4 linked regions of the Sus scrofa genome follow. The protein of the gene in region 1 purifies or fractionates together with the protein of each later gene. This does not show direct contact. Links are inferred from orthologs where the notes say so. Each region holds a gene or a part of one and is shown in the gene's direction. Other genes may lie near its edges.

Region 1 (3,513 bases):
TTCTTCTTTTTTTTTTTTTTTTTTTTTTTTTTAAAGGGGCATGATAATTAAGGTATTAAATTTTACACAAAATCAACACTTTCCTTGGTTTTGTTTTTAATCTATACTTTCCTTGGTGTTTGTTTTTAATCTATACTTTCCTTGGTTTTGGCCTGGCTAAAGCTTTAGATTAGAAAGAGAAAAGGGGCAGTGGAGTAAAAGGGAAAAAAGATAGCAAAGATTATGAGTGGGTGATGCCCAAAGACCAGGGTATTGGGTGGACAAGGACTTCAGAGTATGTACGGTGCATCAGGGAAAGAGGTTGATCTGGCCCCCCGAATTTAATGTGAGAGATTATCAGGAAATGGCTTTAACTACTGGCACCCTGTAACACTGAATATATTCTCTCTGGAAGAGGGTTTTGAACCGTTTGACTTGCAGATCTGAGCTGTCATGAATTGTGAGAAGACTTTGGTGTACCTGGTTATGAAAAGAGTGATAGCAACTTGAGAGCACTTACTTTGTTATAAGTAGGATGTACTTAGAACACATTTGTTAATACTGTGTTTCTGGTGACACCCACCATTGAGTGAATTTACTCAGTAAATATTTACTCTGTACCTGTGGTACCTCAGCCCTTTTGAGACACTGGAAATCCAGCAGGGAACCAAAACGTAGGCCCTCACAGAGCTTGTGTTCTTGAAATTGTTTTATTTTAAGTCTGTCAGAAGGTAACTATCAAGAAAAGATAAATGTGGAGTACCCACTGTGGCTCAGCAGTAATGAACCCAGCTAGTATCCATGAAGATGTGGGTTCGATCCCTGGCCTCGCTCAGTGGGTTAAGGATCCAACATTGCTGTGAACTCTGGTGTAGTTTGCAGATGTGGCTGGGATCCCGTGTGGCTGTGGCTGTGGTGTTGGCAGGCAGTTGCACTTCAATTTAACCCCTAGTCTGGGAGCCTCCATATGTTCTAGGTGCAGCCCTAAAAAGAGGAGTGGGGGAAGGAAGGGAGAAAGGGAAAAGAAAAGGTAAATGTAAGAAAAAGAGAGGGAGGATAGACCCAAGGCACATGGACATCATGTGAAAGTCAGTGCATTGTCCACCCTCCTCTCCATCATACGAGAGCCAGCCTTCAATCCTTCTAGCAGTTTGCCCTCCCTGTTCCCCAACCACCACCAAAAACTGCACTTAAAGTTATATTTGACTGCAGCATTTCTTCTATTTGGCTCAAAGACGGGGAGTTCAAAGGATATCTGAAACTATATTTTTTCTTGCCCCTATCTAAAGCTAGCAGTGTGCCTGCTTTAGATACACGTAACTAAGATTTATGATCTAAAATACAATTTAGGGAGTTCCCTTGTATCTCAATGGATTAAGAATGCGACTCGTATCCATGAGGATGCGGGTTCAATCCCTGGCCTCACACAGTGGGTTAAGGATCCAGGATTTTCCGTGAACTGTGGTGTAAGTCACAGGCCCTGCACAGACCTGGCGTTGCTTCGGTTGTGGGTGTGGCGTAGGCTTACAGCTGCAGCTTCAATTTGACCCCTAGCCTGGGAACTTCCATGTGCAACAGGTGTGCCCCCCCCCAACAAAAATAATACAATAAAATTTAAACTCATTAACAGTAATTCTAATCTTTTGGAGCTTTGCCGATTATTTTTTTTTAATTCAGAGTTAGCTTCTGTTAGCATACTGGGAAATAAAGTATTATAGAGAATCCCTTAGAAATTTTGACTAGTGCTGTAGATGCTGTAACTTTTATTTCTTTGCTTTCAAGTACATTTGACACCAGTTCCTTTAACAAGCTTTTTCCAGCTCTGCTAGTCAGCATTTCTGTATTTTTTAGAAATTAATGCTTCAGATGAATGCTAAAAACAAAGCAGAAGAAGTTGAAGATGAAACAGTGGAGCTCGATGTGTCAGATGAAGAAATGGCCAGAAGGTAACTGTTACCTTGGTCGGCTGTAGAATTGAGCCTAGAGCCCACAGCGTCCATTGGCACTCAGTCAGGTGGTCTGCCAGCCTTTGAAGGGAGTACTCAGCACGTAGGGCTTCCTGGGTGGCAGGGCAGTGTTCACACCTGTCACAGGCTGGCAGTTGAGGGCTCATTTCTAGTGCTGCTTCTAATTCATATTTTAAAATATACATCTCGATTTATTTAGAACACTAACCCAGAAAAAAAAAGTAAAGAATTTGATCATTTGTAGAGAAGTTCATAAATTTTAAATCAGATGGTTTCTGTCAATCATAGTGTTGATTTTTCGTACTCTTTGTTGCATATTTGGTTTGATATTCTTGACAAGTCTTGATTCCTGTCTTCTTTATTTGAAACTAAACTTGTGTTTATCATTTTAACAGATATGAGACCTTGGTGGGGACAATTGGGAAAAAGTTTGCCAAAAAAAGAGACCGTGCCAATTATGAAGAAGATGAAAATGGAGACATAAAGCCAATTAAAGCAAAGAAGATGTTCTTAAAGCCCCAAGATTAAAATGGATGCCTTAAGATAGGGCTCAGGGATGCCTCGCGAGAGCACATTTTGGAACTCATTCTATTGGTTTCTCTCTAGTCATTAGTGTTGTTTATTTGTAAAGAAATGTATAATTGTGAAAACATGCTGTTTTTCGAACAGATGTGTGATGGATGTTATACATCCTTTGCTTAATGGGATTCATCAGGAATGGATTTTTAACCCTTGATCTTCAGACGTACATAGGTACATGGTTGCTTCCTAAAGAATTATTTATCTCTGATTTTTTTTAAATACAGCTCTCCCAGTCACTGACCTCATGTTTATAGTCTCCTTTAAATTGTTAATCATGTCAAACCATTTCATGCATATATTTTGGAATCAAATGTCATGAGAATTTATTATATGTAAATTCATCAAGAACAAACATTTCTCTCCAGCCTAAGGTATTGCCATGCTACTAAATCATTGTCAGTGTGTGGAATTATGCTTTTTTGTTTAAAGCCTTTAAATACTGTTTAAAAATATTGTTCTGTAATAAATATCTGTTTCATATACCTTTTCTATTTTCTTATACTTTCAAATGATAACTGTAGTATTGGAACTTTTGTCCAATTAGTAACTTTTAAAAAACAGCCATTAATTTAGAATATGGTGAAACATTAGCTTGACCCATAGGAAATTGCCTTTTATGTGTTAAAAGCAGTTATCAATTAACCTGGAAGAATTTACCACCAACCAGGCCATCTCCTAATCTGAACCTTATACTAAACAGTAAATCAAAAGCCCCTGGAGTTAGGTGTGTGTGTGTCTCTGTCCATCTAGAGACGTGTACCTAGAACTTGTGAGAAACACTGATTTCATATGACTATGTTCCTAACAATTAAATGAGGTGCATTTTTCCTCTCTCTCTGAATCCCCTTAGGTTTAGGTTGCTGTGTGCCCTTAAAGTTCTCTGGTGAGCTAAGAAAAAAGTTGTGAATTTGACGTTCATCCAGCTCCAGTTCAGTGTGAAGGTGAGGACAGTGCACTTCCCGGCTCCCTACATCCCGGGGCAGAA
Region 2 (3,281 bases), about 7.0 Mb from region 1:
GCAGAGAATAAAAGGACCATGTGCAATACTTGATAATGCCACATGATCGCTTCTCTCCCTTCCCTCCCGCACATCCTACCCATAGGCACCCCTGGTGTGAGAGCCTGTGGCTCCCCGGGTGTCTGTAGAATAAGTGCTCCAACTGGCTTCTGGTTGCAGCCATTGCCAAGTCTAGCCCTAGACCCCTGAACTTTGGGAATAATGGCTCAGGACTTACATGTAGAGGTGGCCCACAGAATAGGGGGGTTAGATGAAGAGAGGCATTCATCATTCAATGGAAGGTGATTCAAGGGATTATTGGAGGCAGAGAGAATCTCCTTGGAGCCTCTTGTAGGAAAACCTTTCCATTTCTTAGGCCCATATCCCTCTTCCTCTTGGTGTGCAGGTTGGGTGTAGATCAGAAGCATTCTTTGGTATAGGAGGCATTTAGGGTAGATCACTTGCTTCCCTCCACTCCTTTGCCTGTCCCCTCATTCCTGGTTCCAGGACTTAAAAGTTGGACATTGAGGATGGAGACTCTGACCTGGTTTGCCCCTTCACCCAAGTCTGAAGACAGCTAGGTTTGGAAGCAGCAGTGTATAGTAGTTGGTTGTGCCCCCTCTGGCTGATTTCCAGTCCACTGGGTACAGCAGGCTGGCTCTGAGGCCGAGGGTCATTTCTCAGTCCTGCTGACTTTGGAGAGAGGAGGAAAAGCAGGTCTATGGCAGCTGAAGCAGCAGAGGCCAACAGTCACAAGGCCTGGGAATGAAAGGCTGTTCTCACACGGAGTTATGAGAGCTAGGTAGAAGGAAGGTGCTGAGGCCCTGACTGCAGCAGCTGCATGCCTGGTATGGAGTGTCAGGGATACAAAGAACTCACAATCCAGTGCAGGAGACAGTTCCATTTATTCATTAGCAAGCGTTTATGCCAGCCAGGGCACTGACAGTACAGCAGTGACCAAGACAAAAGGTCACTGCACTCTTAGGCAAGGCAGTAGGAAACAGAAAATTGTCACACGGGAGTTCCAGTTGTGCAGTGGGATCATTGGTGTCTTGGGAGCGCTGGGACCCTTCGATCCTCAGCCCAGCACAGTGGGTGAAGGATGTGGTGTTGCCACAGCTGTGGCTTTCGTTGTGACTGGCTGATCCCTAGCCCAGGAACTCCACATGCTGTGGGATGGCAAAAAAAGAAAACAAAAAACAAAAAAATAATCATACAAATAAATGCAAAATTAAAATGACTACAATTTCACATCGGCTAAAGGTCGGCCAAGCAGGTCTAGGTCCCACTTCTGCAGGCCTGCCTCACAGCCACCCAACCACGAAGCACCTGGTGTCCTCGCTGCTGCCTGGGGCTCTACAGCGCTCGCCGTTCTCCCTCCGGGGCGGCAGGGGTCAGTGCAGCGCCGCCCGCTGCTATCCCGACAGCCCTCGCGCGGGCGCGCGACTTTAAGCGAGCGGAAGAGCAGGCGCGCGAGGCAGGACGGGCGGAAGTGGCTTGTACTCTAGGTGCTGCCATGCCCGGGGACCACCGCCGCATCCGCGGGCCTGAGGAGTCGCAGCCGCCGCAGCTGTACGCGGTCGGCGAGGACGAGGAGCCAGCCGCCCGTGACCCGACGCGGCTGCGGCCCGTGTACGCGCGCGCCGGGCTACTGAGTCAAGCCAAGGGCTCGGCCTACCTGGAGGCTGGAGGCACCAAGGTGCTGTGCGCCGTGTCCGGCCCACGCCAGGCCGAGGGCGGCGAGCGCGGCGGCGGCCCGGCCGGAACGGGCGGCGAGGCCCCGGCCGCGTTGCGGGGCCGCTTGCTCTGCGACTTCCGCCGCGCGCCCTTCTCGGGCCGACGGCGCCGCGCTCCCCCAGGCGGCGGCGAGGAGCGTGAGCTGGCGCTGGCGCTGCAGGAGGCGCTCGAGCCGGCCGTGCGCTTGGGTCGCTACCCGCGCGCGCAGCTTGAAGTGTCGGCGCTGCTGCTCGAGGACGGCGGCTCGGCGTTGGCCGCCGCTCTCACGGCCGCCGCGCTCGCCCTGGCCGACGCGGGCATAGAGATGTACGACCTGGTGGTGGGCTGCGGCTTAAGCCACACTCCTGGGCCCGCACCCACCTGGCTGCTGGACCCCACGCTGCTCGAGGAGGAACGCGCCGCCGCCAGCCTCACCGTGGCGCTCATGCCGGTGCTTAACCAGGTGGCCGGGCTGCTGGGCAGCGGGGAGGGTGGCCCGACAGAGAGTTGGGCAGAAGCCGTGCGCCTGGGTCTCGAGGGCTGCCAGCGCCTCTACCCAGTTCTGCAGCAGTGCTTGGTACGGGCCGCCCGCCGGAGGGGCGCCTCCGCGCCGCCTTGAACCATAAGTGTGAGCAACGACGCCGAGGAGCAGGCTACCGCTGTCGCCGAAAGAACCCGAGCCGTCGGCTTGCAGACGGCGCTGAGCCAAGAACTAGAGCCCGGGAGAGGATCTGGGAAAGTGCGCTCAGAACTGATGTGCCGGACAGCTGTGTTTTTTTTTTTGTTGTTTGTTTTATAAACTATCGTTTAAGAAACTTTTCTAATTGGGTTGGCGCTCAGCTACGACCCAGTTGAAGAAACCTGCTACTGCAGTCTGATTTCCAAGGTGGAAAGGACTTTAGGTGGACTTGCCTGAAAAACGGGAACCTGCAGCTAGTGCCTTGTGAGGGATGGACCCTGTGCGGGCCACTTAGTGACTGTCTCCTATCTAATGGGCCTGCTTTTGAGATAATAGACAAGGGGGTTGTGTCTTCCCACTTCTATCTGAACTAAAACAGAAATTCTTTTATAGCTGAAAAGTTCTTCTGTTGTTCTTCTTGGTACAGGATAGAGCAAGGCTCTCCTGAGCTGTGTAGTGTGTTCTTGGACTCAAGGCTTGGGACAGTATTATTTTAAATGTGTCCTGGTGTCCCTGGTCCAGTCTTGGTTCCTGGAAGAGGACATTTGACTGCCAAGAGTGAGAGTTTCTGAATGTTGGGAAACTAGATGCAGCCTGTTCCATTAGGGCAGAGCTGGCCTGTCTGACCACAAGGGTGGACTCGTCCCTGTGTGGCTCCGGAGCGCTGTGGGTTTGTGCTCAGGTCTGGATTGGAGAAAGGCCTGGCAGCCTGTTCTCCTCTGCCCTGACTTGGTGTGAGCTTCTGAGCTTGTGTGTCTCCGAGGCCTGCTCAGCTTCTCTAGAAAGGGGCAGTTGAGAGACTGTAGTGAGGCTTTGAGACTACACTAAGGACCCCTGACCAGGGAAAAGAAAATTTTATTTCTCCTCAGTGACATATTTTTCCAAAGCAGATCTGAAATATGTAAGA
Region 3 (4,239 bases), on another chromosome or scaffold:
AGGTAAAACATTTACCTAAGTACTTATGTCATATAGTGTTCAAAGCCCTTTCAAGAGGTCTGATTTAACAGAACTAAAGAATTTTGCTTGCTCTTCCAGCAAACGTAGGAAAAACACAATCCGGGTTCCTTTTATTATACTACTCTGCATACTAAAAGAAAAGAAAGCTTTCATTTCCCACTTTCATTAACATCGCTTAATTCCACGGCTATTAATGATGACTCAATTCCTCCACAAAATTACTGCCTGTGACTAAAAGATTAAAAATCCAAATGCTTCCCATGTCAGTTCAGCCAGTAAGAATTAACTTCTAATGAGAACACAGCAGGCTTTTTAGGTGATTGCTGGCTTGAACAGGAAGATCTCACTTCCTCTTACGGTGTCATTAATGTCAAGACCTGATCTAATACACAGGAGTAAAAGAGTAGAAAATTAAGGTATCTTCCTTGTCACTTTCTAAAGGAGCAATCACCGTACAGAACTTGGCTCTCTTTCTCAAAGTGAGCAAACCTTCCCCGAAGGGAGAGAAAAATTGGACAGATTTGAGAAACACACACAAAGGGTAAAAATGTTGCGCCTCTGCTACTAGTTAGCTACGGAAGTTATCAGAATTAGTAGAATCCTCCCTGGTCTTCCCCCCCGCCCCAAGCGATACCCAGTCAAGGAACTCCCGTTTTCGTCACCCGCACTCCCTGCCCAGGTTACCTGTGGAAGCTGATGTTAATGTGCTTGTTGTAGGTAGTAGCACAGCCCGCCGCGGCGCAATTGGTCGGCATTTCCCTTTCCCCCTCATTCGGCGCTGTCTTAAGCCTGATTTGAGGTGCGGGTTGCTACGCTCCCTTCGGGCAGAGACTGGGGAAGCGTGGCAGGGGAAGGGCCAAAGAACTGAGTCGTGGGACCTGCGTGCGAGGAAGGGGTTGTGTATGCGTGTTGTGTGTGTGTGTGTGTGTGTGTGTGTGTGTGTGTGTGTAGCTGGGGGGGGGTAGTCAACCTTCCCTTTCTCTTTATTAATATGGCGGACTTGGGGCAGCAGAGCCTACAGTCCTGGAGCTCCAGTCCCCTTCGTTTGCCTTCACCAACATGGCGAACGCAACCCGCCCTACCGCTGGCTCCCAAAAGAGAGGGACTACTGGTCTCTTTGGTAGTTGTTCTTTGAGCAATCGAAGAGGTATGCCCCCCACCAGCCCCCTATCACTATGAAATATGAATCTCGCAGCCGAGATTAAGAAGAGACCCGCCTACCCTGCCACGCACCCAGAAACCCGAGTTTAGGGTCTGGAGTAGCTAACAGGCACAGATTTTGGAAGGACAAACGGAAAGCAATACTCAAAAAAAACTACAACGCCCACTGAGAATCGCGTCGTCCTAATTTTTATCGCGTGAATTGGGAGCCTTGTTTCCTGCGTGCTTCGGGAAGTGACGTCACGAGTAGAGCCACTTCCAGAGACCCTTTCTCGCGAGGCGGAAGAGCCCCGATCGCGGAGAGCAAGGGGGCGCTAGGGAAGGGAACTGAATTGCGACGGTCCGGCGAGAAAGAGCTGGGGTGCGGGGAAGTTGGGGAGCAGAGCCCACTAGGTGTCCGAGTACTGTAAAACCGCACCGACCGGGTCCGTTAGGAAAAAAGGAAACAGAGGAGGAAGACAATTGTAGGGTGGATCCCCGGACAGAGGGCTAAGGTTGTGTGGAAGGCACTGCTCCCGGGATGGCGACCGCAGATACTCCGGCCCCGGCCTCCAGTGGCCTCTCGCCCAAGGAAGAAGGGGAGCTCGAAGATGGAGAGATCAGCGATGACGATAATAACAGCCAGATACGGAGCCGGAGCAGCAGCAGCAGCAGTGGCGGAGGGCTGTTACCGTATCCGCGGCGAAGGCCTCCTCACCCGGCCCGGGGTGGTGGATCCGGCGGAGGCGGTGGCTCCTCCTCGTCGTCGTCCTCTTCTCAGCAGCAGCTGAGGAATTTCTCACGCTCACGGCACGCGTCGGAGCGGGGCCACCTCAGGGGACACAGCAGCTACCGACCCAAAGAGCCGTTCAGGTCTCACCCGCCTTCCGTGCGGATGCCTTCGAGCTCACTGTCCGAAAGCAGCCCCCGGCCGTCCTTTTGGGAACGGAGCCACATTGCCTTGGACCGTTTCCGTTTTCGAGGCAGGCCTTACCGGGGTGGGAGTCGCTGGAGTCGGGGGCGAGGAGGGGGTGAGCGAGGAGGCAAGCCGGGGGGCAGACCTCCCCTAGGAGGAGGAGCAGGATCTGGATTCAGCAGCAGTCAGAGCTGGCGAGAGCCCTCTCCACCTCGGAAGAGTTGTATCCTTAACGTGGCGGTCTGCCCTGGGTGTGTCACTACTAAAGTTCCTTTTAGCGTCATTGCTAGGTCTTTGAGATGAGTAACTTTTCTGAACCATCAGAACCGCTTGTCACTGTAAGTATACTTAACGTAGTTGGTTCTTTGGTAATCTCCATGTGTCAAACCGTAGCGTTATTTTAAAAAATTACTTTATTGAGTTTATTGCTTTTTAATAAATATTTACGTGTTATGGATGGGGGCCAAACTAATGGAACCTAAGGAAGTGTAAAATCAGATCTGTAATATTACATCAGAAGCCCAAGTTTCATTAACCCTCTTTTTAATACTACCCTTGCTTTTAGGTGATGTTGACTTAGATTTTTAGAGGAAGAAAAAAAATATTAGCCATAAAAAGTTTGGGGAATACCATTGCTTATATCATATTGCACTGCGACATTGGAAATTGTGAAGTTTCATTCTGCATAATCCTACTGCTTTTATTTGAGTCTGTTTTAACCTTTCTATCTTGATTTATTCTTACACATTGCTGCCTTCTAAAGTTGGAAAAAAAAAACCCCGGTATATTCACCAGCTCTATTAATTCAGAGGCTTTAAATTTATATGTCTTTTTTGGAAAACTTTAAGTCTTATTTCTTATGTTCACATTTTTGACATTTTATAACTCTTAGAGTTGGGCTACAGAGAGAATGAAACTTAACAGCATTTTTATCTCAATATATTGGAAACCATGGGATTTATGGGAAGGTGGAGATTATGGAGAGATTGAGAAGGAAAATTGCAAAATATCTGTTTTTTGTCCCTTCTGATCTTTAAACATTCCTGAGTTTACTCATCTGAAGATTTGCCATTTTAAGATGTGTTTATATGTCTGTGTCTTGACTTATTCCATGATAACCACATAAAAAGTTTACTAAGAACTTTATTACTGATTGTAATTTCCATGGTGTAATGATTTTTTAATATATTCATTATATATGACACTTAACATATAATGACATTTGTTTGGGAGACAGTGAACATTATTTTCATGGGATACTCAGGCCCAAATTGTCTTTCCCAGATGTCAGGATAGAAATATAGGTTTAGGTAAGAAGTAGCAGCTTCTGGTGCTAGTGCTCTGAAAAAATTACAACCAAAAGTTGGATTAGGAGCACTCCAGGATTGTTTCAGAAAAAATCATTTTGGTATTTAACTTTTTTTTTCTTTTCTTTTTTGACCGCCCCGAGGCATATGGAGTTCCTGGGCCAGGGATCAGATCCGAGCCACAGTTGTGACCTACGCCACAGTTGCAGCACTGGATCGTTAAGCCACTGTGTCGGGCCAGGGATCAAACCTGCATCTCATCGCTCCAGAGATGCCACAGCAGGAACTCCCTGTATTTAACTTTTCAAAAGAGGATAGTCTTCCAGTGAAGTTAGAAAACCTCTGCCCAAGATATTTTTTAATCAAGGATTTATTAGTTGTCAATTATGAATCTAAAAGCAGAAAGGCTATTTAAGCACATATATTCAGATTTTTTAAGAGTACAAAGATGAGACTTGTAATTTTTGTGGGAGAGACATATCAATGACCATAGTTCAGTGTAAAAAGTTCGAATTGAAGTATGTAAAAAGTATTATGGAGAGCTTAAAGTTTTTTCTTAGTTTATTTTAGAGAAGAAAGTAATGAGTAGATTTACCTAGCTCCTGCCTTTGCCTTCTCATTCAATACCAATTTGACCTCTACCACATACCTTCATTAATTATTAACCTTATATAGTTTGTGGGGTTTTTTCTTTGGCTGCTCCCGTGGCCTATCAAAGTTTCTGGGCCAGGGATCGAACCCATGCCATAGCAGCGACCCAAATCGCTACAGTGACAGTGCTGGATCCTTAATCTTCTGTGCACCACAAAAGAGAACTCCAACTTTATATGTTTTTATTAGTAAATAGGCATATGA
Region 4 (3,984 bases), about 43 Mb from region 1:
TTAGGAACCGGTCATAGTGTCCATGAGGATGCAGGTTCCACTCCTGGCCCCGCTCACTGGGTTAAGAATCTGGCGTTGGCCCCCAGCTGCGGTTCCCATTCCACCCCTAGCCTGGGAACTTCCATATGCTGCAGATGCCCCAATAAAAAGTAAAAAAACAAACTAAAAAAAACCAGAGTTGAAGCAAAAAGGCACTATAAAAGCCTGTGCTGGGGTATCTGCTCTCTCTTCTCTTCTTGGAAGGGGGAGTCTTTCCCAAGAAGAAAATCTTTCCTTTGTAAACGCAATTTCACTCTCCAACCCCTGAGGAGAAAGGTCACACTTTCCCCCCATGTCCTCCAAGAGGCCTCCCCGGGGCATTGGTGGCAACTAATAAGAAACGCCCTCCCTCACTTTCTCCACGTTGTCTTCCTCCCTGAGGGTCCACAAAGAAGCTGTCCCGCTTTGCCTCTCCTAAGGAAGTGAAACTTCTTCCCTTGAGGGTCCGCTACAAGATGTTTCTGCAGCCCTTCTCCCTTCAACCGCCCTCCATGTACTCCCTACAGGGACGCCACACTCTGAAGAAGGAGTTAACATTTCTATACCTTCTCGGGTACCTCCCCAGTACTCACAGATCTAGCCAGACCCCGAGCCCCAAGCCGCCGCAGAAGCAGGAGGCCAGCCTGGCCCAAGCCTTGACTGCGCTCCCAAACCCTCGCCACAGCCACCGCCAACGCCATCTTGACCATTAATACCTCAGAGTAGCGTCCCCCTCCTTGGCGAGACTGGGGCTGCCCCTTCAGGAGCCTGACTCAAATACCAGGATCGCTCTGCCAAGAAACCACCTGCTACTAATCCTGCGGTCTTTAGGACACATATATAGGTGGGTAAAATAATCCAGATTTCCCCAAATTACTCCGATCGCTTCACCGGAGTTATTCCTCTTAACAGGCAAAGCAGAGGGCAACTGAGCTCGGCTTCAGGGTTTCAGGGCCCCGGGGCCTCGGGTAGGACGAGCTCATGCCAAGGCCCGCCCTCTCTTCCCTTCTGTCCAATGGCTTTCCTGGACTCTCTAGGCGGGAGTAGGAGGGACCAGATTGTTAGTAAACGCAGAGACACGTGCGGGCGCGGATCCCGGAGGGCCCCGCACCCAAGTTGGCGCTTGCTCATTGGGTACGCAGTCTGTACGCAAGCGCGCGCTTCTGGGCGGAAGCGACAGTCCCTGCTGCACGTGGGCTCCCCGGCGATGGAGGAGTCGATGCAGACTGAAACCAAGGTACGCCCCGAGTCTGGAGCAGAGTCTGGCCCTCGGAGCCCCAGCTGTACTCTCCGGCACTTTGCCTGCGAACAAAACTTGTTGTCCCGGCCCGATGGCTCTGCCTCTTTCCTGCAAGGTAAGAATTTACCCACGTCGTATTTGTTCTCGTGGGCGGGTACAGTGTATTGTGTTAGCTGGTAAATATCTTCTTGGACTGATGCAGTTCTTGCCGGAGTGAATGGTACTGCATATGCCAGTAGACAAATAGAAGGGTGAAGATACCTCCACTCTGGTAAATATGCCTCAGGATGAGAGAGGGGCAGACCTTCTCTTAAGAACGAATACTCCAGGGACTTCCCTTCGTGGCTCAGCAGTTAAGGAACCCGACTAGGATCCATGAGGATGAGGGTTCGATCCCTGGCCTCCCTTAGCGGGTTAAGGATCCGGCGTTGCTGTGAGCTGTGGTGTAGGTCGCAGACACAGCTCGGATCTGGGGTTTCTGTGGTTGTGGTGTAGGCTGGCAGTTGTAGCTCTGATTAGATCCCTAGCCTGGGAACTTCCATGTGAGGCCTGAGAGAGCAAAAAAAAAAAAAAAAAAAAAAAAGAACGAATACTCCAGAATAGGGGAAATCTCACCGTGTAAAAAAAGTCCTCCTTGACTAGGTTCCTCCCACACATGCACTCTGGATTCATCTATCCCTGGTTGAGGCAAACCTGTTCTTTTGCGTAAATACCTCGTAGACTGGCAAATCACCACTACTGATTTTTTTTTGTTTGTTTTTCTTTTTTCTTTTTTTTGCTTTTTAGGACCGCACTTGCAACATATGGAGGTTCCCAGGCTAGGGGTTCAAATGAAGCTGTAGCTGCTGGCCTACATCGCAGCCACAGCAATGCGAGATCTGAGCTGCATCTGCGGCCTACACCACAGCTCACGGCAACCCCAGATCCTTAACCCACCGAGCGGGGCCAGGGATTGAACCCATAGCCTCATGGATACTAGTTGGGTTCTTACCCGCTGAGCCAAAATGGGAATTTCGTTGTTTTATATATACGGAGTTGCCAGGCTGGGGATCACATCCAAGCCCCAACTGTGTCCTTCCTATGCCCTTAGAGTGGCAACGCTGGGCCAGGGTTCCTGCCAATTCCTTTGTGCCACAGCGGGAATTCCTGAACACATGTGTTTTTGCTAAGTACTGTTCTAAGCACTGAGAAATCATAGCTAAAAAGGTTTTTTGTGTTTTTTTAATTTCTTTTTTTATATTTTTTTCTGTTTTATATAAGTTTTTAAATTCCTGCCCTAGAAGAGTTTCCATTTCCATCAGAGAAACAAGTGATAACTAAGTAAAACTTAGTAAAAGGCTATGGAGGAAACTACCGCAGGAAGGAAGAATAGGGCGTGCCAGAGAGGGGTGCAGTCTCAAATGGGATGGTCAGGGAAGGCTTCGCTAAGATGGTACCATTTGAATAAAGATCTAAAGGTAAGGGAGCAAACCCTCAAGACAGTAAGAGAAAAGCATTGGGGACAAGGGTAAAGGCCCTGAGACAAAAACTTGCCTGGTGTGTTTGAGGAGCAGTCAGGAGAGCAAAGTGGCTGCAGCAGAGACAGGAGGTCAAAGAGAGGTACGGAGGACTGCCCTTCATGCAAGTTTCTTAGCACTTAAATACTGAGCCTCTTCCATGTTCTAAAACCCCAAAGCCCAGGACCCTGGAGCAGAGTCCCTCAAAGGCCCTCAGAAGTGTGTCTCACATGCTCCTGGCCTCAGAATCTCTACTGAGGTTAAGAATTCCGAGCCCCAGGAGTTCCCTGGTGACTCAGCAGGTTAAGGTTCCAGCATTGTTACTGCTGTGGCTCAGGTCCAAGCTGTGGCAAGGGTTTGATCTCTGGCCCAGGAATTCCATGTGCCGTGGGCACAGCCAAAAAAAAAAAAATGCTGAAGCCTCAGAACCCACCCACACCAGCTAAGTCTGGCCCTCTACACTTTTTAATCCACTACAGCGGCAATTCTGATTGCAGGCCAGCGTTTTGAAGCTGTGCACCAGCTCCGTGTCCTCCCACTGCAGGTTGCAATCCCCGCTGCACATTAGAATGGCCTGTGGAGCTCACAGGCTGCCGGTGCCTGAGCGCCAGCCCTCAGCAATGGTATTAGGCTCTCTGAGGGGAGGGGCCTGTGCATCAGTGTCTTTTAAAGCTCTGCAGTGAGTCCAATGTGCATTCGTTAGTGATTCTTTTTTTTTTGCTTTTTGTGGCTGGGCCTGCGGCATATGGAAGTTCCAGGCTAGGGGCTGAATCGGAGCTACAACTGTTGGCCTACGCCACAGCCACAGCCACATTGGATCCTTAACCCACTGAGCAAGGCTAGGGATCGAACCCACATCCTCATGAATATTAGTTGAGTTCTTTAACCTCTGAGCTGCAGAGGGAACTCCCTGAAAAAAAATTTTTTTTTTTTGTCTTTTTTGCTATTTCTTGGGCCGCTCCTGCAACATATGGAGGTTCCCAGGCTAGGGGTTGAATCGGAGCTGTAGACACTAGCCTACGCCAGAGCCACAGCAACGCGGGATCCAAGCCGCGTCTGCAACCTACACCACAGCTCACGGCAACGCCGGATCGTTAACCCACTGAGCAAAGGCAGGGACCGAACCCGCAACCTCATGGTTCCTAGTCGGATTCGTTAACCACTGCGCCACGACGGGAACTCCTGAAATATATTTCTTATTGGGGGTTATGGTCAGAAAAATTTGGAAGC

The links.
Region 2: the proteins of MPHOSPH6 (region 1) and EXOSC6 purify together in Homo sapiens (affinity purification with mass spectrometry; 3 studies listed by BioGRID and IntAct, with this or other methods). This does not show direct contact. The link is inferred for Sus scrofa from reciprocal best matches to the Homo sapiens genes MPHOSPH6 and EXOSC6.
Region 3: the proteins of MPHOSPH6 (region 1) and ZFC3H1 purify together in Homo sapiens (affinity purification with mass spectrometry; 3 studies listed by BioGRID and IntAct, with this or other methods). This does not show direct contact. The link is inferred for Sus scrofa from reciprocal best matches to the Homo sapiens genes MPHOSPH6 and ZFC3H1.
Region 4: the proteins of MPHOSPH6 (region 1) and EXOSC5 purify together in Homo sapiens (affinity purification with mass spectrometry; 6 studies listed by BioGRID and IntAct, with this or other methods). This does not show direct contact. The link is inferred for Sus scrofa from reciprocal best matches to the Homo sapiens genes MPHOSPH6 and EXOSC5.

What each region holds. Positions count from the first base shown.
Region 1 is NC_010448.4:6,268,011-6,271,523, forward strand, and holds the end of MPHOSPH6 (M-phase phosphoprotein 6), read left to right. Parts: intron 1-1,830; coding exon 1,831-1,925; intron 1,926-2,341; coding exon 2,342-2,474; 3' UTR 2,475-3,011; downstream 3,012-3,513. UniProt on the Homo sapiens protein: RNA-binding protein that associates with the RNA exosome complex. Involved in the 3'-processing of the 7S pre-RNA to the mature 5.8S rRNA and play a role in recruiting the RNA exosome complex to pre-rRNA; this function may include C1D.
Region 2 is NC_010448.4:13,295,088-13,298,368, reverse strand, and holds EXOSC6 (exosome complex component MTR3), read left to right. Parts: upstream 1-1,426; 5' UTR 1,427-1,495; coding exon 1,496-2,314; 3' UTR 2,315-2,778; downstream 2,779-3,281. UniProt on the Homo sapiens protein: Non-catalytic component of the RNA exosome complex which has 3'->5' exoribonuclease activity and participates in a multitude of cellular RNA processing and degradation events.
Region 3 is NC_010447.5:35,668,389-35,672,627, reverse strand, and holds the start of ZFC3H1 (zinc finger C3H1 domain-containing protein), read left to right. Parts: upstream 1-1,436; 5' UTR 1,437-1,702; coding exon 1,703-2,300; intron 2,301-4,239. Other genes in the region: THAP2 (THAP domain-containing protein 2), read right to left, coding at 706-776. UniProt on the Homo sapiens protein: Subunit of the trimeric poly(A) tail exosome targeting (PAXT) complex, a complex that directs a subset of long and polyadenylated poly(A) RNAs for exosomal degradation. The RNA exosome is fundamental for the degradation of RNA in eukaryotic nuclei.
Region 4 is NC_010448.4:49,378,945-49,382,928, reverse strand, and holds the start of EXOSC5 (exosome complex component RRP46), read left to right. Parts: upstream 1-1,181; 5' UTR 1,182-1,225; coding exon 1,226-1,373; intron 1,374-3,984. Other genes in the region: BCKDHA (2-oxoisovalerate dehydrogenase subunit alpha, mitochondrial), read right to left, coding at 612-728. UniProt on the Homo sapiens protein: Non-catalytic component of the RNA exosome complex which has 3'->5' exoribonuclease activity and participates in a multitude of cellular RNA processing and degradation events.